7 linked regions of the Callithrix jacchus genome follow. The protein of the gene in region 2 interacts with the protein of the main gene of each other region in a pairwise test. Links are inferred from orthologs where the notes say so. Each region holds a gene or a part of one and is shown on either strand. Other genes may lie near its edges.

Region 1 (4,891 bases), on a different chromosome or scaffold from region 2:
CCTCCTGCTACAGCCACCCACAGTACTGAACTACACGCATGGAACACAATGCCCAGCCTCTCCTAGCATTGGAACTTTAACCCATCATTTGAGAAAAAAGAAAAAAAAAGGAGGAAGCTCACTTATCAAGGAGTTTGTTCTGGATAGCCTGTGGAGATTAGAGAATGTAAAAAAGTTAGAGTTGGCTGGGCATGGGGACTCACGCTTGTAATCCCAGCACTTTGGGAGGCCAAGGCGGGTGGATCACCTGAGGTCAGGAATTCAAGACCAGCCTGACCAACATGGCAAAACCTCGTTTCTAGTAAAAATACAAAAATTAGCCCGGTGTGGTGGCACATGCCTGTAATCCCAGCTACTTGGGAGGCAGGAGAATTGCTTGAACCTGGAAGGTGGAAGTTGCAATGAGCTGAGATTGTACCACCGCACTCTAGTCTGAGTGACAGAGTGAGATTTCTGCCTCAAAAAAGAAAAAAGTTAGAGTTCCTAATACCTCCCAGTTACCACTGCATAGTGTGTGTTAGGGGGCTGCAGTCATTTCCCTTTTTGCCTAAACATCTTCATCAATTCGAATGGGGGCCATATGCCTCAATGCTGTCCTGTACCTCTATCAGCAGCTGCTCCCGCTGTGCGTACATCTCTAGAATCTTTAGGCAGGTGCTGAAGACACTAGGGTGCCAGAGAGCCAGGAGGGCAAAATGCTACTTCACCTCTGTGCCCAGGAGCCCCAGGGACCTGAGACTTCTGACTTCTCTATGCCTGACTTTTCCTTTCTAAAATACGGGGGCCGGTGAGGGGAAGGCCAGGTGCAGTGGTTCACATCTGTGAACACAGCACTTTGGAAGACCAAGGTGGGAGGATCACTTGAGCCTAGGAGTTTGAGACCAGCCTGGACAACATAGTAGGACCCTGCCTCTACAAAAAGAAAAAAATATAAAAAAATTAGCTGAGCTTGTGGTACTCGTGTGTAGTCCCAAGTACTTGGGAGGCTGAGGAGGGATGATTGCTTGAGTCCAGCAGGTCAAGGCTACAGTAAGCTGCGTTTGCACCACTGCATTCCAGCCTGGGTCACAGTGGAAGACTCTGCCTGAAAACTAAAACAAAAACAAAAACACAACAAAATATGGGGGCCGGTGGGGGGAGGGCCAGGTGCAGTGGCTCACATCTGTGAACACAACACTAAATATCCCCCACCGGGATATTTAGAGGAAACAGAATGTAAAAAGACACTGCCCAGAAAGAAGCATCTCTATGGTCTACAGAATGACCTCTACGCTGAAGTTAGGCTATCTTCCCATGCCTCTTCCTCCTAATGTGATCTGTAGTGTGACTTTCTAATAAAAACATGGCAAGAAATACCCTTGATATACAATAGGGCCACAGATGGAAATATGGTAGAAATAGAAGAACCTTGGGCCGGGCGCGGTGGCTCAAGCCTGTAATCCCACTTTGGGAGGCAGAGGCGGGTGGATCACGAGGTCCAGAGATTGAGACCATCCTGGTCAACATGGTGAAACCCCGTCTCTACTAAAAATACAAAAAATCAGCTGGGCATGGTAGCGCGTGCCTGTAATCCCAGCTACTCAGGAGGCTGAGGCAGGAAAATTGCCTGAACCCAGGAGGCGGAGGTTGCGGTGAGCCGAGATCGCGCCATTGCACTCCAGCCTAGGTAACAAGAGCGAAACTCCGTCTCAAAAAAAAAAAAAAAAAAAAGAAGAACCTTGTATTTTCTCACATAAAGGGGGTCACAGGACAAGCTGGAAAAGAAGCCAGACTTTGAAGTGGAAGACCCCACTGGAATTGTTGAATCATTTAAGTAGATACCCAACCTTGGACCAAGCTCTCTAAATCTGTTTCCCAACCTGGAAAGCAGTGCTGATAAGCATGAATCTTACAGGGGGCTGTGAGTGGGAAATGATGTAATTCAGTTGGAATCGCTTTTTTTTTTTTCAAATGCTTTATTCAAATGCAAAGCACATCTGGCCCGTCGGGTTCTCTCAGCCCCTCCACTCCTATATTCTTCTTCCTCAGTCTCCCTTTCTCATCTGGAGACGACTTTCTACCATCATGGTGGGCTGATCTTCAAACTGCAACTGGTGGTCCACTAGATGTAACTCTATTCACCAAACTATCCCTACAATTGAACGGTGGGAGTGGTTGGTAACCGCATTTACTCCTGGGCTGACAATGGGACAGGATTCCTGGTCACAAGGCCCTACGCAGTGGCCTTGCGGGAAACGGCCTCTCAGCCCAAACCCACCCAGGTTACTGAGCATGCCCAGACCTCCCTCCCGGGCCGCCAAAGGAGGGGCACCATTTCCGCAGGATCTTGCCACTGTGGAAAGAGAGGAGGGGCTGTCATCCGGCAGAGGCAAGGTCTGATACGCAGAAAGGACGTGGAGATGGGACTAAGCAATGAAGAACCCGCACTGACCGCGTTACGCAGCAAATCCAATTGCCCCCCCCCCCTTACCACCTCGGTGGCAGTAGCTCCACTACCTGCACACGCACACCAAGTTCCTACGTACCTTTCCTCCGCTTGGCTCCACACAATTCACGGTACTCACAACCTACCTCCTACTCTTCACCAGATGCGCATCCGCGCTCACTCCCAAACACGTGGCATCTGGTAACCTGGGAAACGCCGCGTCTGTGGCGCAGTGCGCAACAGGGGCGGGGGAGCCAGGCGGGGCGCTGGGGCGCCGGGAACAGCTGGAGATTTGGGGAGGGGGTTTCAATTTGTTTCTCCCCCCCCTTTTTATTATTATTTTTTGGGGGGGAAGCAGAAGAAACCAAATCGCGACACGTTCCTGCGTCCTTTTTGGCGCAGTGGTGCAGAAAGGGTCCATGGCGCCCTTGGGCAATAGAGCGGGTCTGCACCGCCTTTCTAAGACGTGGCACTGGGCTGGAATTCCGCACCGCACTCTTTGCTACACCCTTATAGACCTCAGACCTGCGTCTCTCTCTATACTCGTCTCCCATCTGCTACGCCACTCTGCATTTCTTCCCGCCATGTTGTGCCCCCCCCAACCACCACCCGCCACCTCAACCACACCAAAGTGGATGCACGAAGCGGGAATCTTACGGTTTTAGTCTCTCTGCTCCCTGCAGCCTGCCAAGGCGAGTGGGCAAACTGAAGCTTGGGTGTCCAGCGTCTCGGCTGCCCCCGTCCTGTGTCACCCCTTGTTCATCTTCAGTGCCACCCCCCTTCCCACACCTGGAGTAGGCTGGCGCCCGGCTGGTCCCCTTTTCCCATCCATCAGCTCACACCCAGGGTAACGGGGAGGGAGCCGTAGCCACAGTGCGCCCTCGACCCCGGCCGACCACAGCCTCACTACAGGTAGAGGTGCCTGGGCCGGGCAGGTGGGGGAGAGGGGCACAGGGGCCGGGGGCTGCGCCCTCCGGTCCTCACCCCGCGTGCCCTGCCCGATACTTACCCAGGCGCGGAGAGCAGTCAGCTAGCCCTCCGCTCCGCATCCATTAGCCGGTGGTCTGGCCGCTTCACTTCCGGAGCTCTGGGCTAGGGGCGGTGCCGCCCTCCCCTCTCTCTCTCTCCTTCCCTCCCCTCCTGCCCTCCCCTGCGCGCCGCTCCCCTCCCTGGCGCCGCGCCCCGCCTGCGCCCCGCCCGCGCCTCCCTCCTCCCCGCGCTGCCGGGAACTGGCAGCCTCTCCGTTCCCGCAGCCGCAGCGGCCGCCCTCCCAGATCCAACTTTGCCGCTCGCCCGAGCTCGCGCGGTGGCCGCGGGGGGCGTGGGCAGGGAGGGGAGAAGCGGGGTCAGGGGGAGGGACCGGGAGGGTGGGTCGCCGGCTCGCCAGCCCTCCTTCCTTTCTGTGCACCTTGCGGTGGGCAGCGAGCGGCAGCCGCTGCAGCAGCTAGGGGGCTTGTGCACACCGCGAGGGAGACTTAGGGACTGGCAGACGGACGGACGGACGGCGAGGACCCTCTCCGAGCCCCCGAGCCATGGCCGAGAAAAAGCAGTCTGGGAAGGCGGCAGAGGACGAAGAGGTCCCTGCCTTTTTTAAAAACCTGGGCTCAGGCAGCCCCAAGCCCCGGCAGAAATTCTGTGGCATGTTCTGCCCGGTGGAAGGGTCCTCGGAGAACAAGACCATCGACTTCGACTCGCTGTCGGTGGGCCGGGGCTCGGGGCAGGTGGTAGCTCAGCAGCGGGACGTCGCCCACTTGGGCCCGGACCCACAGCCGCCGTACTCGCGGCAGGGCCGGCGCGCCGGCGGGGAGCCATCTGTTGAATCGGGCCGGAAGGTGGAGATCCGGAGGGCCTCGGGCAAGGAAGCCCTGCAGAACATCTACGACCAGGTCGGTGTGGGGGTGGGGGGTGGAGACGCAGGACGGGGCGCGGGGATTGCCCCTCCCTCGCCCCTGAGCCCGGCGCGCCCGCCTTCATGCCCCGCCCTGGACCTCGCCTCCCGCATCTGCACGCGCACCCTCCGCCCCTTCTCCGCGCAGGGCGCGGCGAGGCTCGGGCTGGGCGGTGGGCGGCTGTGCGCCCACAAAGGCTGCCCGCGTCTCCTTGAGCTTGGGAGGTGGGGGGTGGGCAGAGGGGATGGGCCGATCCCGGGCTGGGGCGGGCGGTGGTCGCCTGGGAAGGGTTGGCTGCGGTTCCATTCTTCTGAAACCCTCCCGGGCGGCTTCCTATTGCAGCTGCGGCTGGGTGCCCCACCCTTTTTTGAGGCGGCTCGGAGCGTGGGGGGGAGGCTTTGCGTGAAGGCCCGCGGCTCCTGGGTGGTCGGGAGGGGCGAGGGTTCCGACGGCGGCTCTCTGCAGCCTCAGCCGTCGCCTCCTGAGCTCGAGTCCCGAGCTCCGAGGCCAGGACCATGGTCAGCGCCCCCCGGACCGCCCTTGACTCCTGCTGGCAGCCAGAGAAGAGCCAGGGAGG
Region 2 (4,421 bases):
ATTTATGTCTGTCTCTTCCAATTAGATGAGATCAGTGCGTTCAGGGTGGTATGGTCATAGACTGTCTCCTCCAGTTAGAATGTAAGCTGTATAAGAACAAAGTTTTTTAGTTTCTCTTGTTCATGGATATAGCCAGCACCCCTAACACTGCCTCACATATAGTAAGTGCTGGGTGTTTGCTCAATGACTGGGTTAATGAATGATGTTGAGGTAGGTAGAAGCCAAGCCTAAAGAAGATTCAGAAACCATCCTAACATCAATAGGAAGAATGGGAAGCTGTTGGAGAATTTTAAGTACAGGCCTGATCAAATCAAATACCTGCTTCTGGAAGATTGCTGTCTGCAGAGTGAAAAATGAGTTGGAGGGAAGCAAGGTCAGAAACATGGATACCAGTGGGCAACTGTTGAATACATTCAGGCAAGAGATGATGCTCATCTAGGTGTAGATGGTGCTGTGAAGCATGTGAGAGACAGTCTATGAGGAAAAATTGAATAGGGTTTAGTAATTGATTGGGTGTTGAGGGTGAGGGCAGGGGATGAGGCAGGAACGCCTCCCAAGCTTAGTACTGGGTGGACAATGGTGCCATTTGCTGAGCTGTGGATGGTTAGCAGTGTAGACCTAGGAGGGAAAGAAGGTAAGTTTAGTTGATGACAGGTGAGATTTGAGGTGCCTGTGAGTCATCCAAGAGCGGATGTACCGGAAACACCTGGAGTTAGGATCTGGCGCTAAGGAGAACCACCTACAAAGTCCAAATTTGGGGGATTGTTGGCATGTGGAGACAAAATGTCAGTTCCCCCTTATTTAGCTTTTATCACACACTGCCTTTGTTAATGACTTATTGATATGTAGCATTATAGCCCCCACTTGGATTATTAGGCCCCTTTCCAGATGCCCACACATGTAGCCTTCCAAAAAAGCAAGTTATTTAAATGGACTAACTTCATTTATTGAAATGGACTGGTGGATTGAAATCTGAACTCTACTGTCTGACTTTAAAGGCCCTCCAGTCTGGCTTGACCTTGTCCCCCTAGCATTATTTCCTGCTATTGCCTACAAGACACTTACAGCCAAGCCTTATTTTCACTGGGTCTGGGACACACTCCTCCTGCTCCCAAACTCTACATCCAGCGCCTAACTGTCCTCACCACTCATCCTCTAAGTGCATGTTGTCTCTAGCACTCATTGTGGCATATAATCAAGCCCTAATGTGTGTAAAATGGTAGTGAAGAATGCAGTCTAGACCCAGACTACCTGTCAGGCAGATTACCCAACTTTTCGGTGCTTCAATGTTCCCATCTAAAACTGGGTATAATAATAGTAACTACTTCTGCTGGGCGCGGTGGCTCACGCCTATAATCCCAGCACTTTGGGAGGCTGAGGCGGGTGAATCACGAGGTCAAGAGATCGCGACCATCCTGGTCAACAAGGTGAAATCCCGTCTCTACTAAAAATACAAAAATTAGCTGGGCATAGTGGTGTGCGCCTATAGTCCCAGCTACTCGGGAGGCTGAGGCAGGAGAATTGCTTGAACCCAGGAGGTGGAGGTTGCGGTGAGCCGAGATCGCGCCATTGCACTCCAGTCTGGGTAACAAAAGCGAAACTCCATCTCAAAAAAAAAAAAAAATAGTATCTACTTCTTGGGTTTATAAGGGTTAAACAATTAACATGGGTACTCTGTTCAGAAGTTCCTTCTACATAACTGAGTATGGTATGTTCACTATTATTTATGACATTGCTTTCTCATTGTTTCCTGTGCATACATTTTGTTTCTCAAGCATGATTGCAAGCTCCTGGGGACAGGGAGCTACTGCATGCCTCATTTGTTTCACTGCACATACCCGCATCTATCACAACCACATGTGAGGCCTGTACTACATAATGGCTGAAGTTAAACTGACTAATGTTTCAGCCATCCTTGGCTGGGCTCATCCATTTAGTCTCCCTCTTCTAGGTCCAAGAGTGCCTCAGGATGGATCAGATGAAGAGGACGAGGAGTGGCCCACGCTGGAGAAGGCTGCCACTATGACAGGGGTGGGCTACCATGCAGAGGTGGTGGTGGACCCTGAGGATGAGCGTGCCATAGAGATGTTCATGAACAAGAACCCTCCTGCCAGGTAGGCCTGGCAATTTGGGATAGTGGGTCCTTGAAGAAAGTTCCCACAGGAAAACAAGTTCCCCGGCAGACTTATAATTCCCTACTTTTGGAAAGGGCCCTGGAGTTGCTGGTTGTAGGGGACCACCTTGACAAAGCTGGCCTGTCCTGAAAGGACCACTGTGAGTGGGAATGACCCAGCCTCAAAATGCCTTGTGTCCTTCCGTCCATTATTGTACTACTGCCCAATTGTCAGGGAAACAGCTACAGGCCCCTTTTATACCTCTGGGGAGAGCCATCCTGTTGCATTTGGTTTTGGTATTCTTGATTTTTTTAGTGGAAGCTCAACTTCTTGGATAAATCTTCATACCCTGAGCTTCATTTAAGCCAGGGGTTTTCAACCTCAGCATACTGACATTTTGGGCTGGGTAATTTTGCGTGTGTATATGGAGGCTATTCTGTGCAGTGTTTTGCAGATATCTCTCATCTCTACCTTCTAGACTCCAGTAGCAACCTTCCCTCTAATTGTGATAACCAAAAATGACACCAGACATTGCCAAATCTCCCCTGGGGGGCAAGATCGCCCCCAGTTAGAACCAGTAATTTATTCCCATCTATAGTAAATGCTAGCTCCAAACATGCAAGCATTTAGACTGCCTGTGGTCAGATTACTGAGCCCATAAATTTTGGCCCTGGGGAGTGGAGTCTAGGATAAGGCCCTTAAACAGTTCATTCTGACCCTGTGATATTACCATGATGTTGTCCCTGATACTTTAGGCTATTTTGGCTTAATGTGTCTCTCATTGCTAATCGTGCTGTAAGACAGGAGGCTGGTAAATTCTGTGGCAGCTTATTTGAAAATACAGAATGAGGCCAGGCGCGGTGGGTCAAGCCTGTAATCCCAGCACTTTGGGAGGCCAAGGCGGGTGGATCACGAGGTCAAGAGATCAAGACCATCCTGGTCAACATGGTGAAACCCCGTCTCTACTAAAAATACAAAAAATTAGCTGGGCCTGCTGGCACATGCCTGTAGTCCCAGCTACTCAGGAGGCTGAGGCAGGAGAATTGCTTGAACCCAAGAGGCGGAGGTAGCGGTGAGCTGAGATCGCGCCATTGCACTCCAGCCTGGGTAACAAGAGCGAAACTGTCTAAAAAGAAAATAAAGAATGAAGAAAATGAGCCCATCTCCCAGATTGATGGTTGACAGTTGAAATAGATGTCACAAAATACGTACCTGGGCTTGTCCCACCAGAGAGCCTCTCAGGTTCTCACTCAGCACTTCATAACTCCTACTTCACTGGTAACTCTGACAAACTTGGCAGAATGCTTCTCCAATTTGCAGTAAATAGAATAGACAAGCTCCCTGAAGTAAACAGAACTCCAGGCAGTCGCAGGAAATGATAGCTAGCATCTTCAGAAAGCAAACCTAGATCCATGTGGATTCAACAGTCAAGAGGCCATTTAGTTTAAAGGCATATTATAAGGTCCTATAAAGTACCTTAAGAACTTCAAAAACCTGAGTTTGACTGTTACTCCCCACCTGACAGCTATGAGGCCTTGGGTGAGTTACTAACCTGAGGCCCAGTTCCCATGTCTGCATAAGTTTCCGTGTCCCATAAGTGTTGCACTGACTTTAGGACTGAAAAGTCCCAAACTCAGTGCCTGGCACTGAGTAGGACCTCAGAAAAGAGGAGCAGTTTGTTTTTTTGTTTTGTTTTGTGACAGTCTCACTCTGTCAGCCACCCAGGCTGGAGGTCAGTGGTGTGATCTCTGCTCGCTGCAACCTCAACTTCTCAAGATTACTGGCATGCACCACCACGCCCGGCTAATTTTTGTATTTTTAATAGAGACAGGATTTCACCATGTTAACCAGGCTGGTCTTGAACTCCTGACCTCCCTCAGCCTCCCATTTTTGGGATTACAGGTGTGAGTCACTGCACCCAACTCAGGAGCAGCTTTAAGTACATTTCAGGCTGGGCATGGTGGCCCACACCTGTAATCTCAGCACTTTGGGAAGCCAAGGCAGGAGCCCAGGAGTGTGAGACCAGCCTGGGCAACATGAAAAGACCCCATCTCTACAAAAGAATAAAAAATTAGCTGGGTGTTGTGCTATGTGCCTGTGGTCCCAGCTAGTGGGGAGACTGAGATCGGAAGATCGCTTGAGCCAGAGAGATGGAGGCTGCAGGGAGCCGTGATGGTGCCACTGCACGCCAGCCTGGGCAACAGAGCTAGACCCTGTCTCAAAAAAATAAATAAATAAATACACTTCAACAGCCTCTGAAGTGTATTATAAAGTGGGTACCATTATTATTCCTGTTTAACGAATGAG
Region 3 (3,776 bases), on a different chromosome or scaffold from region 2:
CGCGCTCCTCTTGCTGCTAGCGGAGCGCTTCCCGCGCCGCGCGGGGCTCGGGATGACAGGGGATCGGCTGCGGCGTGACAACCCTCCTCTGTCCATTGACCTCACCTTTCACCTGCTGCGGACCCTGCTGGAGCTGGCGCGGACGCAAAGCCAGCGGGAGCGCGCCGAGCAGAACCGCATCATATTCGACTCGGTGGGCAAGTGATGGGCCTGGTTTGGGGCCGCGAAAACTTTGACCCCTTTCCCCCACCTCAGGGTTGGGACGCGGGGCAGAGCCACCAGAGCATTCTCTGCGTGGCTATTTTTTAATAAAAGTGCTGAAGAGCTGTTGGCTTCTGTTGTTGGGGGGGCGGCAGTCACAGCAGGGTGGGAACCTGTGGGAAGGTGGGGCCCCCTAGCCAGCTGGAAGGGAACAGGATGCGCGGGGGAGGGGGGCTCCGGGAGAGCGGCTTTCAGCCAGGTCAGCCAGGTGCCTGTGGACCCCAGGGCTCCCCAAATCCCCAGGACCTCAGGTCCCGGCACCACCGCCTTGCCCTCAACCCTCTTCCAAGGGTGCTGGGCTCACCAGTTCTCTCCTGGCATCACGGAGGTGCCCAAAAAGGGTTCATTTGGCTTCCACCCGCCCAAACGGTCTCAGGTTCCAGGAAGGGCAGAATGGTGGCGGGTCGCCTCCAAAGCCGAAGCTGAGGGATTGGGCAGCGAAAGGAGATACGGGTCTGGGAGCTCGAGTTCTTTATTAAGATCCTCCCGGGGCGGGCGCCGAGCTGGGCTACTCTGCGGTCTCTGCGCAGATCCTCCCCGACCCTAGCGCAGGCTCTTGACCAGAGTCGGGTCGGCGCAGACCTGTGCCTGGGAAAGAAGGCTTAGTGAGCAGGTGCTGAGAAGGCGCGAGGCAGCTCGAGCCCAGCTCACTCGGTCGCCCGCCACGTGGGTTTCTCCTCTACTCAGCCAACTCTGCTTGCCCTCCCAGTAACCCGGAGGTACGGTGGGGGTGGAGGAAGTGTGCTTTTCCGCCCTGGGGGATGCACCTTTGTGGCTCCGGGGTAGGGTGGTACCGAGGATTGGGGGACAGTAACCGGGGGAGGGGACATGAGTGCACCAGCCAGGCCCCATTTCAAGTCCCTCAGGACACTCACCTTAAGGCCCATCCGGCCGCCCTTCCTCCGGCCCCGCAGTGCCCTCGTCTCCGTCCAGGGCCACTTCCTCATCTTCTTCCTCTCCGGAAGTGCCTGGGCCCAAGGAAGGCCTGGTGAGGTGGAGTCCCTGCCTTTCCTGCCATTTTGCCCGCCTTGCCCCCACATGGAGGGTCGGAACCCCAGTCCCGGTGGCCCTTGGCCATCTCCCTCACCCGGCTGGAAGTCGATGGTCCGCAGCATTTCGGCCACGTGCTCTACGCTCACGGTGAATGGCTCCATGCTCTCATAGCCTGGCTCTGGCCGCCCTGCCAGTTCCACCTTCGACATAGCCCCGACCCTGCAGCAACCACACTGGGCTCAACTGGCAATGCCCCAGCACCCTCAAGCCCCTCCCCCAGCCAGTGGAGCAGCGCAGCCCCCTCCTTTCCCTTCCCGCTGTGCCTACTCACTTATTGATCAGCTCCTTGGCCTGCTGCAGGGGAGAAAAGGAGGGTGAGAGTAAGCACTGGGCCAACCTGGGCTAAGTCCCATTTCTTTCTCACCACAGTCCTGCAGGGTAGGTGGGAAGGTACATCCCATTTCATTAAGGAGAAAATGAACTCAGAGGGGGTGAATTGCCCAAGGTGGTAGGGGCAAGGCAGGTCCAAGAGACAAGACTTGAACCTGGATGTCCAGGTGCCAAGGCCCCGACTCCAGCCACTCTGCAGCACTGCCACCCTCCCCTAGAGCCCACCTGGAGGTAGAGCGCCATCTGTGGCTCTTCCATGGACTGTATGGCAGACTCCACCAGCTTAGAGGAGGCCTCCAGGTGATCTCCGTACTGACGGATGAGGCCACGAACACGCTGCAGCTTCTCCTCTTGCTCCCGGGCCAGTGCCTGCAGCAGCTCGCCCTTGCGCTCCTCCAACACTGCACACAGGCTCTCGAACTTCTGGTTTAACAACTGCTTCTGCCTCCGGCTATTGTCCTGAAAGATGGGGAGCAAGGACCAGGGAAGGCGTGGCTGAGACCCGGTGGCTGGGAAATCCCAGGGTACTGGGCCTGCTCCCCACTTGATGGAGCTCAGAGAACCAAGACAGAAAGTGACCCGTCCACAGTGCCACTGCTAGTGGCTGAGCCAGAATCCAGCCCAGATCTCTTCTATAATAAAAACACAATGTTTTAAAGTAGCTTCAATGAGTGCTGTCTATATCCCTAGCCCTGGTTTTTACTTGCGTTATTCCATTTAATTCTTAAAAAGAACCCATGAGGTAGCTGGTGTACCATTATCATCATCACTGTTTTATGAGGTTAAACAAAACCAAAGCACAGAGAAGTTAAATAACTGGATTAAAGTTTCGAGGCAAAGCTGGAATGCATACCCAGCAGCCTGGCTAAAGCCCATCCCACCACTTTCAGGACCCCAGAAACTTTCAGACCAGTTTGGCCACAGCAATTCTTCTGGAAGGAAGCCCGGGGTCCGCAGACCCGCCAGTTGCTGTTCCCCCCTCCCTCTAGCCCAGGCTCACCTCGATGGTCTGGCACACTTCCTCCATCTGTGTGATCACTGCTTGCACCCGGTCATTGCCTGCCACCAGCATCGCAATGCCATCGCTGAGCTCACTCTGACACACAAACAGGTCAGCACTTAGAACTGGGACCTGGTCTAGAGCTACACCCCTCACCCCAGCCAGGGTTGCCTAGAAGAGGGCTGTCCCCTTCACCCCACCCACCATGAGGGCATCTACAGCCCTCTAGAAGACTTGAACTATCAGGAGGTACAGAAGCACATTCTAGGGATTCTAGAAGGAGGTGGAGAGAAGAAGCCCTCCACCACTAAGTGGGAAGGAACAGACAGTCTCCATCCACCAGATGCCAGGCACAGGGCTAGATGCTTTATCTGAAGATTCGTTTCTTGCATCAATTCTGATGCAAGAAATTCTTGATGATTATCCATTTGCATAATATTGCCTCTTCTCTGTTCTCTTTATCTTCTCATTCTGGAAATCTGATTCTCACGCTCAACCCTCTCCTCTCCCAGAGATACACATTCTGTTTTGTTTTGTTTTTTTTTTCAGTCCCCTCATGCTGTTCACTAGTTCTGTTTTCAGACAAAGCGGTCATTTAATTCATCTGTTTCTTTTTTTTTTTTTTTTGAGACGGAGTTTGCTCTTGTTGCCCAGGCTGGAGTGCAATGGTGTGATCTCGGTTCACTGCAAACTCTGCCTCCTGGGTTCAAGCGATTCTACTGCCTCAGCCTCCCAAGTAGCTGGGATTACAGGCATGTGCCACCATGCCTGGCTAATTTTGTATTTTTAGTAGAGATGGGGTTTCTCCATGTTGGTCAGGCTGTTCTTGAACTCCTGACCTCAGGTGATCTGCTCCCCTTGGCTTCCCAAAGTGCTGGAATTACAGGCATGAGCCACCGCGCCTGGCCTGATTTTTTTTTAAGAGACAGTCTCACTCTGTCACTCAGGCTGGAGGGCAATGGTATGATTGTTGTTCACTGCATCCTCAAACTTCTGCCCTCAGGTGATCCTCTCAACTTAGCCTCCTGAGTAGGTGAGACTACAGGCACATGCCACCACTCCCAACTAATTAAAACAATAAACTTTATAGAGATGGTGGTCTCACTATATTGCCCAGGCTGGTCTTGAACTC
Region 4 (4,421 bases), on a different chromosome or scaffold from region 2:
TGCAAGGAGTGACAAAAAGAGAATCAATTTTTCATGTCCAAGCCAAGCTCACACAGATGATGATGCTTATCAGTGATTCCCACTTACATAGGCTTGGACTGCTTTTCAGTTAACATATTTTTGTAACTATTTTATAAATATTTTTAAAGGTGAAGGAGCCACTGCAGTGAAGGTGAATTGGTGCCCCCCGCTTTTCTTTTTGGGTGTATCAAGCATATACTCGATGACAGGAAAAGTCAAAGGTATTTATCAGAGTTTTGCATTTAAAAAAACCAACGGTCAAGTTTCTACACTGCAGCACTGTTGATATTTGAGCAAGGTGACTCTTTGTGGTGGGGGCTGCGCTTGCACTGTAGATGTTTAACAGTGTCCATGACCTCTACGCACTAGATGCTGGTAGCTTCCTTTTCCTGGCTGTGACAACCAAAAGTGACTCCAGGCATTGCCAAATGTCTCCTGGGGGGCAAAATCGAGCCCTGGTTGAGAAGCACTGCTTTCAAACACATCCTCTGGCCCCCATCATTGTTTTTGTGTGCTTTTCGCCATTTTATTAAGGTAGACCAGATAGTCAACTTCCCAACACCAAACGCACATGTATGTCAGCATATGTGTGTCTCTTTGCAGGTATCTGCATGTTTCTGGAGCTGAGATGGAATTCCACGGCCACTGGAGGACGTTAGTTCAGTTCCTCAGCAAGTTGAAGGACAATATATCAGTACCGTAATAAAAAAGCCTGTCTGCATTCAGGCAGTTTCTTCTTCTCCAGCAGAAATCATTGTCAATATTTGCAGTCAGTTTTTGAAGTCACTTTCTTTTAAAGCTGGAAAGAATCTTCACCCAGGCCCACCCTCATCTTAATCCACTATTTAGAGTCCTACTTGAATGATATCACCAGCAACTTTCAACTTTGGATCCACATTTCTTTATTTGTATCCACCAGGAAGAGAGGTACCAGGTTTCTGAGTTCTATTATAAGCACTCGCTACATAACTTGCAAGGCCCAGTGCAAAGTGAAAATGCAGGCCCCTTGTTCAAAAATTATTAAGAATTTCAAGACAGCAACAGCAGAGCATTAAATCAAGCTTAGGGCCCTTCTGAACTCCTGGGCTCTGGGCATACCCATGATACCAGACCTGGCAGTCTTGGTTGGTGCTGCATTGATTTTATTGTATTAATTTAATTGGCACTGCCATCTTTTTTGCCACTGTATCGCAGTGTTTCCTGTGGTGAGGGCCTCAAAAAATAAAATACTGTGATCTCAATCCATTTAAAGACAATGCAAAAATTACACTACAGCAAATTTTTACAGCATACATTTTTTAGACTTTCAAAAAAATTCACATGGGACTCTTTTCTACATCATTATAGTAATTTAACATGGTGGCCTTTCACCATATACATATTTTCCTGTAAATATGACAACCTGGAAATAGTAACTGCTACTATCCACAATGCTTTTAAGTTAGCCAAGAGTGAGACTTCCACAACAAAATTATGACATAATCTCTCATGTCCTTATAAAAATAGCCAAAACATACCCTAAATGGCTTACTGTGAAAATTGGAGTAGTGACTTCTTAATATTGAAAAACATTATTTTCAAGGAAATATTGTCCTTCTAGTAAGTGTTTTATGTTAACATCATAAGGCAAACTGTAGCATTTATTGGTACCTGGAGACCATGATTTTAAAAACTCAGAAGCTGAGTTTTAGACCCTTTTATTTAGAACCTGTTACTGTACAAAGTGCATTAAAATATCCATTATCCAGTTACTCAAAATGTATGTAAAAATTACTGAGACAACCCTTTCAGTTTATTCAGAGAAGGCAAACACACATTGCTTTTATATTGTAATAAAAAGAAAAACCCATAAGGTTTCCAGAGAAAGATTAATTTTTTTCCATTGAGGTGTCCATCTTTTAGATGTGAAATTGTCTTAGGTATCTATCAAAATATTCATCTGGGTATAAATAATATAGTAAATATATAGAATCTATCTGTTAAGAAAAAGGAGAGTGTCTGCTAGGGAAGAGGATGGAAGGACCCAGGAAGCTGGGTGGCCTCCCTTGAAGTCGAGATTTGCAATCACATGAGCTTTGGCTACGTGATGCTGAAACAATGGATTCATTGACTTATTTCAGGGAGGCAGTTGGTTGATTTGGTTAAAAACAAAATCACTAAAACAATGTCTAAATCCACTAGTCTGTTCCATCAAAATGGCTGACCCAGTATACCAGGTAAATATTTTAGCAATTGAAACCATTTACAGAGGTCACACCCTTCAGCAAAGTAGAACTGATGCCAGAGTTCTGGTCCAAGAACTACTCAAGAAAGCCTTAATTCATGGACCATTCCAACGCATCAGATTGGCATGCAAAGAATCCCAGCTGACATTTTATAAGCAAGTTCCTGAATAACAAGTTTCTTTTTTTTTTTTTTTTTTGGTCTTACAACTCTATTGTAAACTATACTAGACTACAGAGGGACTTCTACATCTTTCAAGATGTGTTTAATAAAGGTCTGTTTATAATAACTTTTGAGGCATGTATCTAGTAAATAGTACTTTATGCAATGTCCCTTGTTATTAGCAACTCATAAATATTAAGTGTTTTTCAGTGACTTACATTTGGATATGGTAGCAGTGATCAGGGCCATGTGCTGATGTCCTGGAGAGCAAACTCAATCCAAAGTGGTGCTGCTATTTGTGACAGAACATGTTTATTTACTCAGCCCCAGAGACAAAAGGAAAATTGATATGGGGGAGGGGGAAATAGGACAACTATTAAACGTAGTGAAGAAATTTCACAGGTCTAAAGGAACTGTTAAAAGGAAGGATGAAGTAGATTTTATATCATAAAACAGAATCCTACCTATGATAAAAGACAAATCAGCCTGAATTTTTGAATAATCAATAGGATTCAAAATAACTATTTTCAATTGCAATCTCATTCTTAATGTTCTTCCAGAACTCTTAACCCTGAGAGAAGCAGGGCAAAATGTGGCCAAAGGATTCAGAAACTTTCTTTTCAACATCATCCCATCAGCCATCAGAGGGTAAAGATTTAGCCACGGCAAAGTCCGAGGTCCAAAATCAATTCTTTTCATTCTCTCTCTTGTTCTCCATTTTAGTTGATGCAATACAAGTTTTTGACATCACGATGAAAACACTTCAAATTAAACCACAGCAAGAAAGCCTGTTTACTCCCCTACTAGTTTCAAACACATCCTGATATGCACTGTCTAGGTAACAAGACCTACATGGGATCATTATGAGATATTAGGTTCGAAGGTAAATAAACATACAAAATTACAAAAGTGTTTTTTTTCTTTTTTTGCAAGCCCATAGATTGTGATGAAATAAAGGTTGTAAATAGCTGGTAAACTTATGGGCCTTTTAATGTGCAAAACCAAATAATTCCTAAAAGTTGTAATCCCGATTATGTTTCTCTTATAAATAATCTATAGATTTTCCTCTAAATACAAAAAAATTAAAGAAATTATTAAAGCCCATACTTAATACAAGACACAGTAAAAGGAGAGGAATCTCCTGTTTTGAGCCCTATCTTAGCCGATTTCTGGACACTTTTGGTGAGATTTCATCACTCTCATGAAGCCTGTGCTTTCTCAGTCCCCTAAATAGTGGCCTGAACCTTATTGTTCCCCGGAAAGCAGCTCCATGTGGCCAGACACTCATGGCAGCTGCTCTGTGCAGTCCAAATGGTCTGGGATAGGAAGCCCAGTGATAATCGTCAGACACTTGTTCCACACGGTGAAGGTGGGGCACACGGGCTGCGCAAATGCGACGTCGAAGGTGTAGAGATGGATGGAGTTCAAAGCATCATAGAAGGCAATAGAGCCATTATCATAGTCCAGCAGGATGCCCACGCGCCGGAGGTGGGGGGCAGGCTCAATGGGGATTTCCTTGCTATTGTGTCTCACCACCCAGTTATTGTTGCAGCGGCAGAGCGCCCAGGAAGCAGAGTTCTTCCCAATCCATTCGTGCTTTGGGGCTGATTTGTAAGCAAGGCCAATGGCATACCTGCAGAAACAAAACAGCAACAACAAAAACAATAAGCCATGTTGCACATGCACGTTAAATCTGTTCTATGGTCCTCAGGGGTTATGAAAAGATAATCATTTGTTGTTCCTCTTCATTTTCTTTAAGTGAAAGCTTGGCAAGAACCCCAACATCTGTGTTCCTCATCTCCTTCTTTCCCAAACATGTAGTGGGTAGAAAGAAGCATCGTATTTACCCACATTTCTGTTTTCAGCTCAGACACTATAAAGACTTTGAACTTTGTGTTTTGCTGCTTTTTTTCACTCATAAAAACCTACACAATGAATTTGCTAGACCAGTGCTGACCAAAAGAACTTTCTGCAATTATTGAAATGTTCTGCTCTGCTCAATATGGTAACCACAA
Region 5 (4,421 bases), on a different chromosome or scaffold from region 2:
ATCATTAGATGAGTTTGCCATCCTCACTGTACTAGAGAGTCTTTGAGTGGAGTGTTTGTTTCTTATTCATCTTTGTTTTCCCAGTACCTACCACAAGGCATATCACACTGTAAGTTTTCCATGAATGATAAGTAAATGAATGAATAAATAAATTAATACAAGTATTTGAATACTAATATAGTGTAATGCAGGATGGCAGAGAGGAAGAGTATTGAGAGCCTTCAGAGGATTTAACATTGATTTGCTGGAATCATATTTGCCAAAATAGTTGGTCAGAAAAGAAAAAGACAGGAAAATTTTTATAAATCAGCTATGTTTATTCTAAAGTAAAATTAAATTCTCAGACTGGGAGTCTGAGGTGGGAGGATTGCTTAAGCCCAGAAATTTGATGCCAGCCTGGGCAACATTGCAAGATCCTGACTCTAAAAAATATTTTTTTTAATCTTTTTAAAATAAATTTTCAGTAGAAGGGTATGGATAGTCTGATTTGCAGAGCAAGCTCCAAATTTCTGATGAGCCTTTTCAATTAGAAATCTAAAAGTTTTTACTACTGAACGAAATGAGAAATATCCAGAAATAGAGTCAAGTCACACAGTATGGATTCTTAAAAAATATTAAACATTTAAAATTAAATTTTAGAATGAAAGTCTAGAGTGTGTCAGAAATTGATGCATTGTAATAAAACTTCAAGGACTTATATTTACTAAGACCCAGGAAGGATCAACAGAGTCCTCTTATTGGGAAGCTCTTATTGGGAAGCTTCCATATTTGCTCTAAGTTTGAAGAAGATAGTATGGTCACAAGTAAAATAGTGGTGATTTATCAAGAGTTCAGGAGATCACAAATTTGACATTAGGTTATAGCTGAAGGAAGAGAACTATAAAACTAGTAAACAAATAGCGAATTTAAATAGCAGAGATAAGATCAACACCAGGAGGTTAGGAATAAAAAACTGAAAGTAAAAAATATACTGAATTAATTTTAGATAATGGTAAATTTGGTCTTGAACAGGTTGAAAAGCACTGGACAAGAGTCTGAAGCAGTTGTGCGGCTGTCATGGGGACCTGGGGGCTTTTATAGTTGACAGTGATCCATGGACCATTCTTTTCCCTTTTGAAGAAACATGGTACTTCATAAACTGAAGAAGAGTGGGGGGCCTAATAGTTTTTAAGAAATATGTCCCTAGGGGCAATTTTGTTATTTGATAATGCTTTCAGTGATTATTTCTGATTGTTTTTCATTTGAGTTATTTACAATGTTATATGTTATGTGTTATATGTGTTAGAAAGCATAGTCTATTAATGATATAGAGGCTTTCCTTAATGCCCATTTATAAACTTTTCTCATTCAGATTTTGAGAGTTCCATTATGCTAATGCAGCCTATTACAGACAAGTTGCATGGTGACTATCTAATGCAAACAAAGTAAGAATTTCAAGATGTCAAATATGAACAAGTGATCTTCAGATGTATCTGTTCCTAAAACTGTCAAATTTAAGTTAATATAATGTTGAAGGTTCACAGCTCTCTTATACTGTATAATTATGATAGGACATTCTCTCTTCTAATTCATTTCTTCAGAGTGAAATAGAGAGTAATTTACCAAAAACAGATGTACTCATCTAGCTTCTAGCTAGCAATAAGAATAATGTCCAAGATCTAGAGTTCATAACTGGCTATACCTAATTTCAGCAAATATACAAGCAAATAATTTTTTCTTAAAAAGTGAATATTTTTATGAGAGGTATTTTATTTATAAGTGCCCCCTTTTGTTTAAATTCTAAAACAACTCTCAGCCTGAGCAAAATAGCAAGACCCCATCTTTACAGAACATAAAAATCAGCCAGGCAAGGTGGCATACTCCTCTAGTTCCAGGCATTCGGAAGACAAAGGCAAGAAGATTGCTTGAGCTCAGGAGGTTGAGGCTACAGTGAGCCATAATCATACCACCACATTCCAGCCTGGCCAACAGAGCAAGACCCCATCTTAAAAAAAAATAGGGTAAAATAAAATAAAACTACTCGTATGTGCCTCCAACGATTGTAAGTTTAGCAGATTTAAAAAGGCACCACCAAAAATCAGGTGAGATTCATCTGCCTTTTAAAGTTCAAGAAATATTTCTGCCCTAAATAAGGAAGTACTAGTTACAATCAGTACTGGGGCCTGTTGAATTGATTTACTAGTGAATGAGTTTGCTTTGTGTTCGTATTTGTGTGTCATTTTCTCCCCAAAACTTTACTTTGTCATTACATGTACATTGTCCCTTTGAAATAGCCATTATTTACTAGCAGTAGCTTAAGATAATTTTTGTGAGATAGGCATTGCAAAGTATCTTCTCTGATGTATAATACATCCTAGAGATGAAGGTTAGAAATCATTCTCCCTTGTATTGTGTCTATTTTAATATTATGACGATGATTACAAAAATAATAACTAACATGTATTGATGTGTCAGGCACTAGGCCAAGTATTTTGAGTATGTTAACTCAGTCCTTAACAACAAATATTATATACCCATTTTACAGAAAAGAAACTGAGAGTAACTTGCCCAAAGTGATTCACTTGGCAAAGCTGGAATTCTAACCCAGGCAGTCTAATACCAGAGTTCCACATATATTAACTCTTCACTATAATAATTATTTTATACTATTTTCAGAAATCTAGAAAAGTTCACCTAGAAAATAATATCCCCAAATCAGTGATTCTCAGCCTTGAGCGTATGCTGGAATCATTTGGGGATCTTCAGAAATTTAAACTAGGTCTCACTCCCAGAGATTTTTTAAGCTCTGAGGATTTAAAAGAAATCTCCTTAGGTTATTCCAAAATGCAGAGTTATCTATTGACTGTGGAAATGGAAGTCTCAATGGTAAAAACCACACTGTATATGCTTATGTGATTACAGTAGAAATAAGACTAGAAATTATATCTTTAAAGCTATGAGAGTATTTCCAAAAATATTTATTTGATTGATTTAATATCAATAAATAGTTACAGTGTTTGATATATCATGTGTTATTTTGTTTGTTTGTTTAAATACAGATATAACCCACAGTTATCTTGAACAAGAAACTAAAAGGATAAATAAAAGTACACAGCCAGATGAGCAACTGACTGTGAGTTCTGAGGAAAATATGCATCAGAAATCCACTGAATTAGTTAATGAAATAAGTTATGAGAACACAAAATGGTCAGAGCAGAGATCAAGGAATTTTCAGATCATCAGTTCTTACCCAGATGATGAGTCTGTTTACTGTACTACTGAAAAATCCAAGTAAGTGCTCACAGCCTTAGATTTAGAAAGTAGGAATGGGGGCTGGGCGTGGTGGCTCTTGCCTGTAATGACAGCAGTTTGGGAGGCCAAGGCGGGCGGGTCACTTGAGGTCAGGAGTTTGAGACCAGCCTGGCCAACATGGTGAAACCCTGTCTCTACTGAAAATACAAGTATCAGCCAGGTGTGGTGGCACATGCCTGGAATCCCAGCTACTCAGGAGGCTGAGTCATGAGAATCACTTGAACCTAGGAGGCGGAGGTTGCAGTTAGCTGAGATTATGCCACTGCACTCCAGCCTGGGTGACAGAGCAAGATTGTCTCAAGAAAAAAAAAAAGAGAGAGAGAGAGTGGAAAGTAGAAGAACTTTTTCTTCCTTTCTCCTTTCTTCCCTTTTTTCTTCTTTCCTTCTTTCATTCTTTTTGGAGTTGACTAATTCTAAACTCATTAGAATTTGGGGGATCTACCAGGGTTTTCTACTGTTTCTGTGATATGGATATAATATGTCTAGTTAACTAAGTGAAAAAGCACAACGTGCATCTAACGAAAGGCAGTGAGATTTAATTCTATCTTGTTCAATATTATTTTCTGTGATGTTTTATTATATATTTGAAAATAACTGTTAAATTGATATACATGAAATATCATTCATGAAAGTAAAAAGCTGGCAGCTCTAGGATAAGGTAAGCCCAAACATGCATTTTGGTTTGGGTTAGCACTGTTTTTCGTTTAAATGAATTTGAATGCTGTTAAAAGGGCCTTGTGCTCTACCATTTGCCTTCCTTATTATTTTACATTCTCAGCTTTTACCCATTCATCTTGCCTACCTAGCTCATGAAAGGATTTGAATTTGTGATACCTTATACTTTTAAGTATGAGATTAAGGAACTTTGATAATTAGTCATGTACTATAAAAATATTATTAGATTTAAAAAGAAGTTTCAGTGACTAGTGTATTTTCAGTCTAGATAAAATAATACTTTACAGCATACAATTTTTAACAGAGTTTTGCATAGGAACTTTTATTTCTACTTTCAAATTATTCAGTAGATGTGTTAATGGATAGTAACATATAATAAAACCTTTTAACCCTTTATCAGATTCTTACTAGGATGTAGATTGGAGTACATATTTGGGGGTAGAACCACAGAATGA
Region 6 (4,421 bases), on a different chromosome or scaffold from region 2:
GTTAATCTAATATCACTTTTCTTAAAAAAGCATTTCATTATCAATGTAAAATTTGTTAAATTTATATGTAACATTCTTAACATGGCAAATTTCCCATTAAGCTCAAGCCTTCTTAGAGACACCATGCTTTTATAGCATTTTCTAAAAATAATTGGCTTTTACACCCAGTATCCTATTAAACGTTAAGAAAAAATATCAGGCTGGGCGCAGTGGCTCACGCCTATAATCCCAGCAGCAGCACTTTGGAGGCCAAGGCAGGAGGATCCCTTGAGGTCAGGAGTTCAAGACCAGCCTGGCCAACATGGTGAAACCCTGCCTCTACTAAAATACAAAAATTAGCAGAGGTGGTGGCACATGCCTGTAATCCCAGCTACTCGGGAGGCTGAGGCATGAGAATTGCTTGAACCTGGGAGGTGGAGGTTGCAGTGAGCTGAGACGGTGCCACTGCACTCCAGCCTGGGTGAGACTCTGTCTCAAAAAATAAACAAATAAACAAACCAGGTTTTATGTTAGACATGCCTAGTCTTTTAAAAACATCCTTAACATTTATCTTCTAATCAAATAATAAATATACTATTAATGAGTATTCAGTGGTCTATAGTAGGGTCCTAAAAATAGGACTTATTGATATGATCAGAACTACATAAAGTTGCTGACAAGGTTTGAACTTCTCCATATATAATATTTCCTGAGAACAGGATTATGCTGAAGAGTTCCTGACCTTTATAAGCCCTACAATCTATTTTTATTTTTTAAATACTTGGCATTTTCTCGTCCCAAAGGGTGTGAGATTATCTTAGGTTGTCAACTTGTTTAAAAGATGCTATTCCAGGCCGGGTGTGGTGGCTCAAGCCTGTAATCCCAGCACTTTGGGAGGCTGAGGCGGGTGGATCACGAGGTCAAGAGATCGAGACCATCCTGGTCAACATGGTGAAACCCCGTCTCTACTAAAAATACAAAAAATTAGCTGGGCATGGTGGCGCGTGCCTGTAATCCCAGCTACTCGGGATGCTGAGGCAGGAGAATTGCCTGAACCCAGGAGGCAGAGGTTGCGGTGAGCCGAGATCGCGCCATTGCACTCCAGCCTGGGCAACAAGAGCGAAACTCTGTCTCAAAAAAAAAAAAATTGATGCTATTCCAAGGCTGGGCACAGTAGCTCACACCTGTAATCTCAGCACTTTGGGAGGCCAAGGCAGGCAGATCGCTTGAGCCCAGGAGTTTGAGACTGGTCTGGGCAATATGGTGAAAACTTGTCTGTCTCTCTACCTGCACACGTGCACACACACACTCACACACTCACACACACACACACACACTAGCTGGGCATGGTGGTGTGTGCCTACAGTCACAAACACACACAGAGAAAAGATGCTATTCCAAATAGGGAAGGTAAATGAGTTTTGAAAGTCTTTAATTTCACCCCTCCATGAATTCTGGACAATACTTATTTTTTCTTTTATTGTTTAGAGACAGGCTGTCACTATGTTGCCCAGACTGGACTTAAACTCCTGGGCTCAAGTGATCCTCCCACATCAGCATCCCAAGTAGCTGGGACTACAGGTGTGTGCCACCACACCTGGCCATTCTGGATGATACTCTGTAAACTTTTGAAATGAGTACCTCTGGAGGTCTTCAGGTCCTAATACCTGCATAACCTGCTCATTCACATCTTCATTAATCAGCCTACAGAGTTTTCCAACAGTGCTTACCAACACACACAATGAAGATGAACTATCTGCAAAAGAGAAATAAAAGGATATTTCAACAGAAAATTTCCAAAATTACATACATCAAACATTTTATGCTTCAGTTATCCTCAATTTTTTTTACTTAAGAAAAATTTTATCTACTTTTTGTTAATTTATTAAAAACAATTCTTAAATGGGGGCCAAAAATGACAAATTAGGTCATCACCTAATTCTAAGAGTTCTTGGAGGTTTCTCACAGCATTGTTCATTTCTCCAAGCCTAGTATAAACTTCATTCATTCGAGGATAGACTCCATTTAAAGAAGGCACATCAAATAATTTTTGGAAGTGAGAGACAATAGCTTGCAAAGTTTGAAAGTTTGGCATATTGCTGTCCTGTCCAAAAGAGAGGTAAAAAAGAAAGAGTTCATATCTTAAAATAATCCCAAATAAAAACTTTTAAAAGAAAAACAGAACTCTTGTAGAACAAATATTAATATCCACATCAAATTATCAATTTTTAAGATAAGAGTACATTAGAATGTGACCATTTATGTAAGTATTATTACCTTTTCTTTATTTTCAACTTCTTCCAACATAGTATCTACTATAAATAACAAATCTTCAACTTTGATACCTTCATTTGCATCCTGCTTCTTCAGATTATGCCAAGGTACCAGTTCTGCAGATAGTGTTTTCAAGGACTTATACAAATCCTTTATAACAAAAGAAACTATATGGTATTATTGATTTAAATAATTTCTATAGTAATATAACACAATTAATAAAATTATAAGTTTTATGTATTTTATAAAATTAATAAAACATTATATAGGCAGGTTAAAATATATATATATATGTAACCATCATTGGTATTTTTTAATAACACTATTACCAATTTAGAACAAGTCAGTTAAAATTAGGTTTCTCCAGGTAAACATAGGCTTTACAGAAAACATTACATATTGATTATTCTGCATTTGGGTGCTCTAAGTAATTTTATATTATTTATTATTGTTTCATGTTATTTTGTTATTTTGAATTGTTGATACATAAAGAATAAACTTGCCCTTGTATTTTAGTTTTGAATAACAGATTTATTGAAATGTAGTTCAGATACCATAAAATTCACCCTCATTAAGTATACAATTCAGTTTTAATATTTTCACACATGTACAAACATCAGCACTATCTAATTTCAGAACATATCCATTACCCCAAAAAGAAATCTCAGACCCACTCACAGTCCTTCCTTCCTCATTTTTCCTTTCCCACAGCTCCAGGGGATAACCTCTAAACTATTTTCTGTGTCTATGGATTTGCCTATTCTGGCCATTTTGCATAAATGGAATTATACAATAAGCAGTCTTTTATGAATGGCTTCTCTCACTTAGCATAATGTTATAACATGTACCTCCAGGCAGGTTTTCAATGTGAAAGGTTCTCTAAATGTATTCTACTTTACAATACTCTGTTTTCTTGTCCTAGCTGTGATGCCCTAAGTGATTTTAAACTGTGCACAATGGGCAAGGCTACTGGAAGTTTAGCATTCTAGACTGGTCAGTCGACAAATACTTACTGAACCCTAATCCAAAAATCTGAAATGCTCTAAAATCTGAAACTCTGAGCAACATGACACTCAAAAGAAATGCTCATTAGAGCATTCTGAATTTTGGATTTTTGGATCAGGGATGCTCAAATGGCATATACTCCAAAATCTGAAAAAATTCTTAATCTAGCCCCAAGCACTGCAGATAAGGGATACTCAATTCATATATGTATGGAACAGTGCTTAGTCCTTTAGAACAATGCTATCCAAAAGAAATGTAATGTGAGCCACAGTAATTTTAAGTTGTCTAGGGCCATAGTATGAAAAGTGAAAAGAAACATGTGATATTAACTGTAATATTTTATTTAACCCAATATATCCAAAATATTATCATTTCAATATAAAATCAATATTTCAATTTTTCCCATATGAAGTCTTCTAAATCCAGTGTATATTTTATACTTCTAACGCATCTCAATTAGGACTAGCCACCTTTCAAGAGATCAATAACCACATACAGCTAGAGGCTACCATACAAGACAGCACAGCTCTAGAGAACAGAAAGAAGTACAAGAAATTCTTCCTTTTTCGAACTTATTTTAGTACTTCACTTGACACTCTCCACTTAAGGCTCACACTTCACATATTGGTATCTTTAACCTTTCGTTTGGTAGGAAGACAGTTACCTATTTTAGTAATTCACAGCAATACATTCTGTGTCAAATGAATGTTTTACAATCAGTGCCACTAGAATTTGGGAGGAAAAAAAAGTCAGTAAGCAACAGCATAATGACCCCTTTATTAATCAATGCTCCAGCTACAAGGCACATTTATAAAGTAATTTATGGAAAAAAGCACACCCAATCTAATACATTTTTGCTTCAGAATAAAAGAGTATTACAAAGCTAAGAAAAAGATGTTCTGGTCTCCTAAGCAGTGAGAGGATGGTTGTAGCAGTTCATCAAGTAAGCTTTGAAAAATATGAGGGTCTCCTAGGTTCTTTACATTGCCTAGTTGTGGAGACGTAGAAGTACTACCATGGGCCGGCCTACCATGTATGTCTGGCCTCTGAAGCACTGGAGAATAGGAAAGTCAAAGTATTCAAGAGTGTACTGGGTTGGGGGAAGCTATAACATCTGTAGTTCACTTTCTTGGAAAGGCAGGAGGGAAAAGACAGAAAGATGG
Region 7 (4,421 bases), on a different chromosome or scaffold from region 2:
AGGCAGGTGCCCGCCTGGGGAGCTGGTGGCTGGCTCGGCACCTCCAGTGCTGTAGGTGGGCAGGCTGGACAGTGAGTTTCGGCCAGAGTCAGACAGTGTCCCTGATGGGCAGCCACTGGCCCAGCCACTTAATGCCAGGGGTTTGTCAGCAGCAGAAGAGGAAGAGGAAGAAGAGGAGGAGGAGGCAGGGCCCCCAAACAGCTGCGTCAGGCTGCCCTGGCTCCCAGACAGCCCGGTGGCCCGAGGACCCATGAAGCTAGGCAGGGACGGAGCCCCTCGAGGTCTGGGCAGCACTGGCTTGAAGGCTGTTGGGCGGATCAGGATCTTCTCCATGTTCTGAAATGAGGTGCCATGTGACACTGGGGATAAGCTGCCCAATCTTGCAGAGCCCTTATGACACTCCCTGCCCTCCCATCTAGGGTCCCTAATGCCATATAGTCATAACAATTGCAGCCATGGGCGGAAAGCCTCCTGAGTGTCAGCTTTGTGTCAAGCAATTGAAAGGTTCATCCCCATTATCTAAATATTATCACTATCCCCATATCACAGATGAGGAAATGGAGGTTCAGCAAGGTGAAAGGCCTTGCCCAAAGTCAAATGTATAGCTGGTGCAGAATAACCAGAATGTAAGCAACTAGCACGTACTGCACACATGCTACATGCCAGGCACTATACTATACGTTATTTGACCTTCATTTCAGTTATAGAAACTGAGGCTCAGGTTAAGTGACTTCCCTGAGGTCACACAGCCAGAATGAGAGACAGCTGGGACTAGGACCCAGTCTGGTGACTCTGGAGCCCACACTCTTTCCTCGATATAGGCTTCTAAATTCCAGTTTCCCAAGGGGAGCTCCCGATGTTACCCAGGCACACAAGGAAAAGCCAGTCCTCACCTTTTCCAGCTTTCCAGAGACAGGGATGAGCTTTGGTGGTGGGCCACGGAGGTGGGCATTGCGTGCCCGCTGCTCCCGGGGATCCTCCACATCACTGCTTGGGCTGGGGGGTGACTCTGTCCGGAAGTCCTCGTTGACATAGGTGAAGCTGGTGACAGGGACAGCCTTCCTGGGGGGCACAGCTGGGCATAGCGGCTCCTGTGCCTCATAGCCACCCCGAAGCAGGCCATCCTGCTGGCGGAAGAAGGTGGGCCCAGGAGGGCCATGGTGGCGGGGAGGAGCTGGTCCCCCAGGGCAGGGCCGGCCTGAGATTAGGCTGCTCACACTGCCCATGGCTGGTGCTTGTGGGGCAGTGGCAGCTTCAGGAGCAGGTTCCAGTGGCACTGGCAGAGTCTGCACGATGGCCATGGTGGCAGAGGCTCAGGCCTGGCCAGCGGCCTCGCAGGTGACCTGTAAGCAGGGCAGTGGTGTCAGAGTCCCTCTACCTTGAGACCCCTCCTGACCCAGTAACAAGCCCAAGTAACTGATGCCTCCTTGACATCAGTAACAAGCCCTGATCCCCACCGAGACTCCCCCTTCAAGTGCTGGCATGAACCTCAATTCCCCCTGGGCCCCAGACCACAGTGCCCAATGTAGGTCTAAACAGGGCTAAGGATTGAGTTCACTCAGCAGAGATGCTGAGGTAATGACCACAAGGCCACTTGGCAGCAAAGACCCAGGCCCAAGCCCAATCCTGCATCCTCCCCAGAGGCCAGGACTCAGGTGAGGGAGGGGCCCTCTCTAGCAGCTCCCAGCACAGGTCTCTGGCCCTCTGAGCCAGGTGGCCTCATTACAGGGTAGTCTGGGCAGAGGCACCTCAAGGTTGCAATCAGCACCTGAGATGGTAATTAGGGAATAAAGAGCCAAGGCCAGGCAGTGCCCTGCCTCCCCCTGCTGGGCCTCAGTTTCTCCCAGAGAGGCGGCTAAACTGCCTCTCTGTGGATCTGGCTAAATAAGAAACCCATGGCTCTTAGGGAGTCCACAGGTGTCCTTCAGGGTCTCCTGCCTCCCAGAGGTGGATGCAGGCTCATACCAGTTTCCATGACAACTCCTAGCCTCTGCACATCCAATCAGGCCTAAAGGAGCCTCCACAGGCTCTGCCCCACTACCAACCTCTGTGAAACCCTACGGCTTTAGAAGGTCCCCAGAGAAACCCTGAGGGGAGGAAGGTAGATGCCCCGCCTTCACCTTTGTCGGCTGCTCCAAAGCCTCACTTCCAGGGAGCCCAGGCAAGAGGGCTCCACCTCCCCAGGCCCTGCTCCTTCCAGGAAGCAGATGTGAGCCTCCACCCGGAACCCCCTCCCTACTCCCAGTCCTGAGGCCACTGATGACCAGGACTTAGGCATCTGCTGAAGTCATCATGCAGAGCGGGGCCAAGAAGTGGACAGAGAATTGCACTGGGAGTAGGAGTGTGTGCATTTAGTTATTTGTTGTGTGACTACATGCACAGGAGCATGGAAATGAACACCATGTGTATATACGAAAATGTGTGTGAAAATATGAATGTGAGTCTATGCATGTTTGATGTTATCAGCACATTCACACACGAGTTCCCGTGTGAATTCACATGTGTATATCTTACAAAAGTACATGGGTAAGGGGTCATTCTTAGAAAGCCTGTGAAAGTTATAAATGTGAATTTGTGGTGTGTGGATGAGACGGTGCCTGGACAGATGCGTCAGCATATGAGTTTATGTGTGAGCTCCTAAGTGTTTGAGTGTGTGACTAGAAAGGTGAGTGCACCAGGGTGTGCAGGTGAGCCTGTAAATGTGGGCAGGTAGGTACCAGAGTGGTGGGAGCCTGGGTGGCTTGAGGACCAGCTGGTGAAGGGAGCCTCTTTCCTTCCCCCTCTGGCATGTGGGGAGAGGTGGGACATTAACTCCTTTGCCTGATCTGTTCCCCTTCTTTCTCGTATGCGCTCCATTAAATCCACTGCCCTCCTTCCCACCCAAGTCAAAAGACACTGCGAACCAGGAAGAGGTGTTCAGGCTGGGGCCAGAGCTGTGGGGAGCTGGGGGAGGGGTGAGCCAGGCCCAGGGAGCAATCACAGGCCTCTATGCAGGGCTGCAGCTCAGACCACCCCACCGGTCTCAGCCCCGAGCAGAGCAGATAGAGAACCCCTTCCCCTCCCCTCCCGTCTCTGGGTCCACTCCAGGGTATGGAAAGAACAGTGGGGAAGGGACTTAGGGGGCCCAGGGGGCTGGCACCTCTGCTGTATTTCCCCACTTCATCGAGCAGGGAGAAAGTGAAAACTGAAGGAAGGAGACAGACTCAGAGAAAGACAGGAACCCAAAAGAGACAAAGACTCGGAGAGGCCCGAGGGTCAGGCTGACAAGGAGAAAGCCAGGCAGACCCAGTGAGCCAGGGCCCCCCAACCCCATGGAGCCGAGGGCCCCTAAGTCCAAAGTGCCACAGAGCTGGGCCCTGAGAGCCACACACCCAGGGAGCCAGAGCCAGGAGTCTGGAAAGCCAGGCCCAGCCGGCCCGGCTCCCGCTCTTGGAGCCCGAGAGAGAAGGAGGGGCAAGTGGCGGCTCCATTTTGAGAAATGCGTTTGTGGCTGTGGGAGATGGGAACCCCTCATTCTCCTCAGCACTCCCTAAGCAATCACTCTGACCCAGGAGCATCCCCCTTTTAGCGGGCTGTGGGGAGCGGAGGGCTGGAGCTCGTCCAGGGCCGGCGAGGGGTCTGAAGAGTTGGGCAAAGTCTCCCTCCCACCCAAACTCCAAGAACCAGTCAAGCGGGGTCAAGTCTGCGATCACGAGTTCCCGCTCCGCGGCGGGAAGCGGGGAGCCCCCAACCCATTCTCCAGGGGCCAGACCCGCTTCAAGAAAGTGGGGGCGGCTGGGCAATGCCCTCTCCCCGCTGGACTCCACCGCGCAGAAGTTGGGGGCGCCCCAGGCCGCCTCCCAGCCCCGGCCCCCCCTCACCTCCGCCGCGCTGCTCCATGCTCAGCCCCAGGCCGCCCCCAGCGCTCCACAGGCGCGCCGCCCGGCTCCGGCCCCGATCCCGGCCCGCGCGCCGCCACTCCGAGCGGCCCGGGCCGGCCCCGCCTCCGCCTCCGCGGCGCCCCCCGGCCCAGGCCAGCCCCCGCCCAGTGCGAGTGGGCGGCGCTGCGCAAGGGAGGGTCCGAGGGCCGTCCCCGCCCCGGGCCGCGGACACGCTCCGGCACCCGCGTCACGCGAGTCCGCCGGGGCGCACGTAGGGGCTGCTCGGCGGCAGTCGGGAGCCCTCCTTCCGACGCCCTGTGACTGCGTGTCCGGGGACTTGGCTCGGCTCGGCGGCGGCGGTCACCCTCCGCCCCAGCCCGGGCCCGGGGGCCGGCGGCAGCTGGTCATTGTTACAGCACAAAGAGCCCCGGCGAGGCGGCGGCGGCCGCCCCTCCCCCTCGGCTTCTCCAGGCGAAAATTCCCTGACACGCTCTCAGCCTCAGGGTCCCAAGCAGGAGGCCGAGGGCCGGCCGCCCCCCACTCTCCGGTCCGGGGGCCCCG

What was found.
Region 1: the proteins of BYSL (region 2) and PNMA2 interact in binary tests that used the Homo sapiens proteins (3 or more experiments, as listed by UniProt). The two-hybrid records come from large-scale screens. The link is inferred for Callithrix jacchus from reciprocal best matches to the Homo sapiens genes BYSL and PNMA2.
Region 3: the proteins of BYSL (region 2) and TRIM54 interact in binary tests that used the Homo sapiens proteins (3 or more experiments, as listed by UniProt). The two-hybrid records come from large-scale screens. The link is inferred for Callithrix jacchus from reciprocal best matches to the Homo sapiens genes BYSL and TRIM54.
Region 4: the proteins of BYSL (region 2) and MID1 interact in binary tests that used the Homo sapiens proteins (3 or more experiments, as listed by UniProt). The two-hybrid records come from large-scale screens. The link is inferred for Callithrix jacchus from reciprocal best matches to the Homo sapiens genes BYSL and MID1.
Region 5: the proteins of BYSL (region 2) and MIPOL1 interact in binary tests that used the Homo sapiens proteins (3 or more experiments, as listed by UniProt). The two-hybrid records come from large-scale screens. The link is inferred for Callithrix jacchus from reciprocal best matches to the Homo sapiens genes BYSL and MIPOL1.
Region 6: the proteins of BYSL (region 2) and CEP70 interact in binary tests that used the Homo sapiens proteins (3 or more experiments, as listed by UniProt). The link is inferred for Callithrix jacchus from reciprocal best matches to the Homo sapiens genes BYSL and CEP70.
Region 7: the proteins of BYSL (region 2) and LZTS2 interact in binary tests that used the Homo sapiens proteins (3 or more experiments, as listed by UniProt). The two-hybrid records come from large-scale screens. The link is inferred for Callithrix jacchus from reciprocal best matches to the Homo sapiens genes BYSL and LZTS2.

The regions. Positions count from the first base shown.
Region 1 is NC_133514.1:15,061,307-15,066,197, reverse strand, and holds the start of PNMA2 (paraneoplastic antigen Ma2), read right to left. Parts: upstream 3,492-4,891; 5' UTR 3,083-3,491; intron 2,626-3,082; exon of another isoform or gene 2,526-2,625; intron 1-2,525. Other genes in the region: DPYSL2 (dihydropyrimidinase-related protein 2), read left to right, coding at 3,958-4,311.
Region 2 is NC_133505.1:50,427,932-50,432,352, forward strand, and holds part of BYSL (bystin), read left to right. Parts: intron 1-1,951; coding exon 1,952-2,114; intron 2,115-4,421. UniProt on the Homo sapiens protein: Required for processing of 20S pre-rRNA precursor and biogenesis of 40S ribosomal subunits. May be required for trophinin-dependent regulation of cell adhesion during implantation of human embryos.
Region 3 is NC_133515.1:87,714,205-87,717,980, forward strand, and holds the end of TRIM54 (tripartite motif-containing protein 54), read right to left. Parts: intron 2,741-3,776; coding exon 2,645-2,740; intron 2,104-2,644; coding exon 1,870-2,103; intron 1,609-1,869; coding exon 1,586-1,608; intron 1,474-1,585; coding exon 1,349-1,473; intron 1,230-1,348; coding exon 1,138-1,229; 3' UTR 1,137-1,137; intron 850-1,136; 3' UTR 716-849; downstream 1-715. Other genes in the region: UCN (urocortin), read left to right, coding at 1-205. UniProt on the Homo sapiens protein: May bind and stabilize microtubules during myotubes formation.
Region 4 is NC_133524.1:10,650,447-10,654,867, forward strand, and holds part of MID1 (E3 ubiquitin-protein ligase Midline-1), read right to left. Parts: intron 4,040-4,421; coding exon 3,691-4,039; 3' UTR 1-3,690. UniProt on the Homo sapiens protein: Has E3 ubiquitin ligase activity towards IGBP1, promoting its monoubiquitination, which results in deprotection of the catalytic subunit of protein phosphatase PP2A, and its subsequent degradation by polyubiquitination.
Region 5 is NC_133509.1:71,918,002-71,922,422, forward strand, and holds part of MIPOL1 (mirror-image polydactyly gene 1 protein), read left to right. Parts: intron 1-1,351; exon of another isoform or gene 1,352-1,424; intron 1,425-3,038; coding exon 3,039-3,270; intron 3,271-4,421.
Region 6 is NC_133518.1:45,829,465-45,833,885, reverse strand, and holds part of CEP70 (centrosomal protein of 70 kDa), read right to left. Parts: intron 2,404-4,421; coding exon 2,257-2,403; intron 2,084-2,256; coding exon 1,915-2,083; intron 1,736-1,914; coding exon 1,621-1,735; intron 1-1,620.
Region 7 is NC_133513.1:93,956,170-93,960,590, reverse strand, and holds part of LZTS2 (leucine zipper putative tumor suppressor 2), read right to left. Parts: intron 3,988-4,421; exon of another isoform or gene 3,861-3,987; intron 1,344-3,860; 5' UTR 1,302-1,343; coding exon 894-1,301; intron 337-893; coding exon 1-336. UniProt on the Homo sapiens protein: Negative regulator of katanin-mediated microtubule severing and release from the centrosome. Required for central spindle formation and the completion of cytokinesis.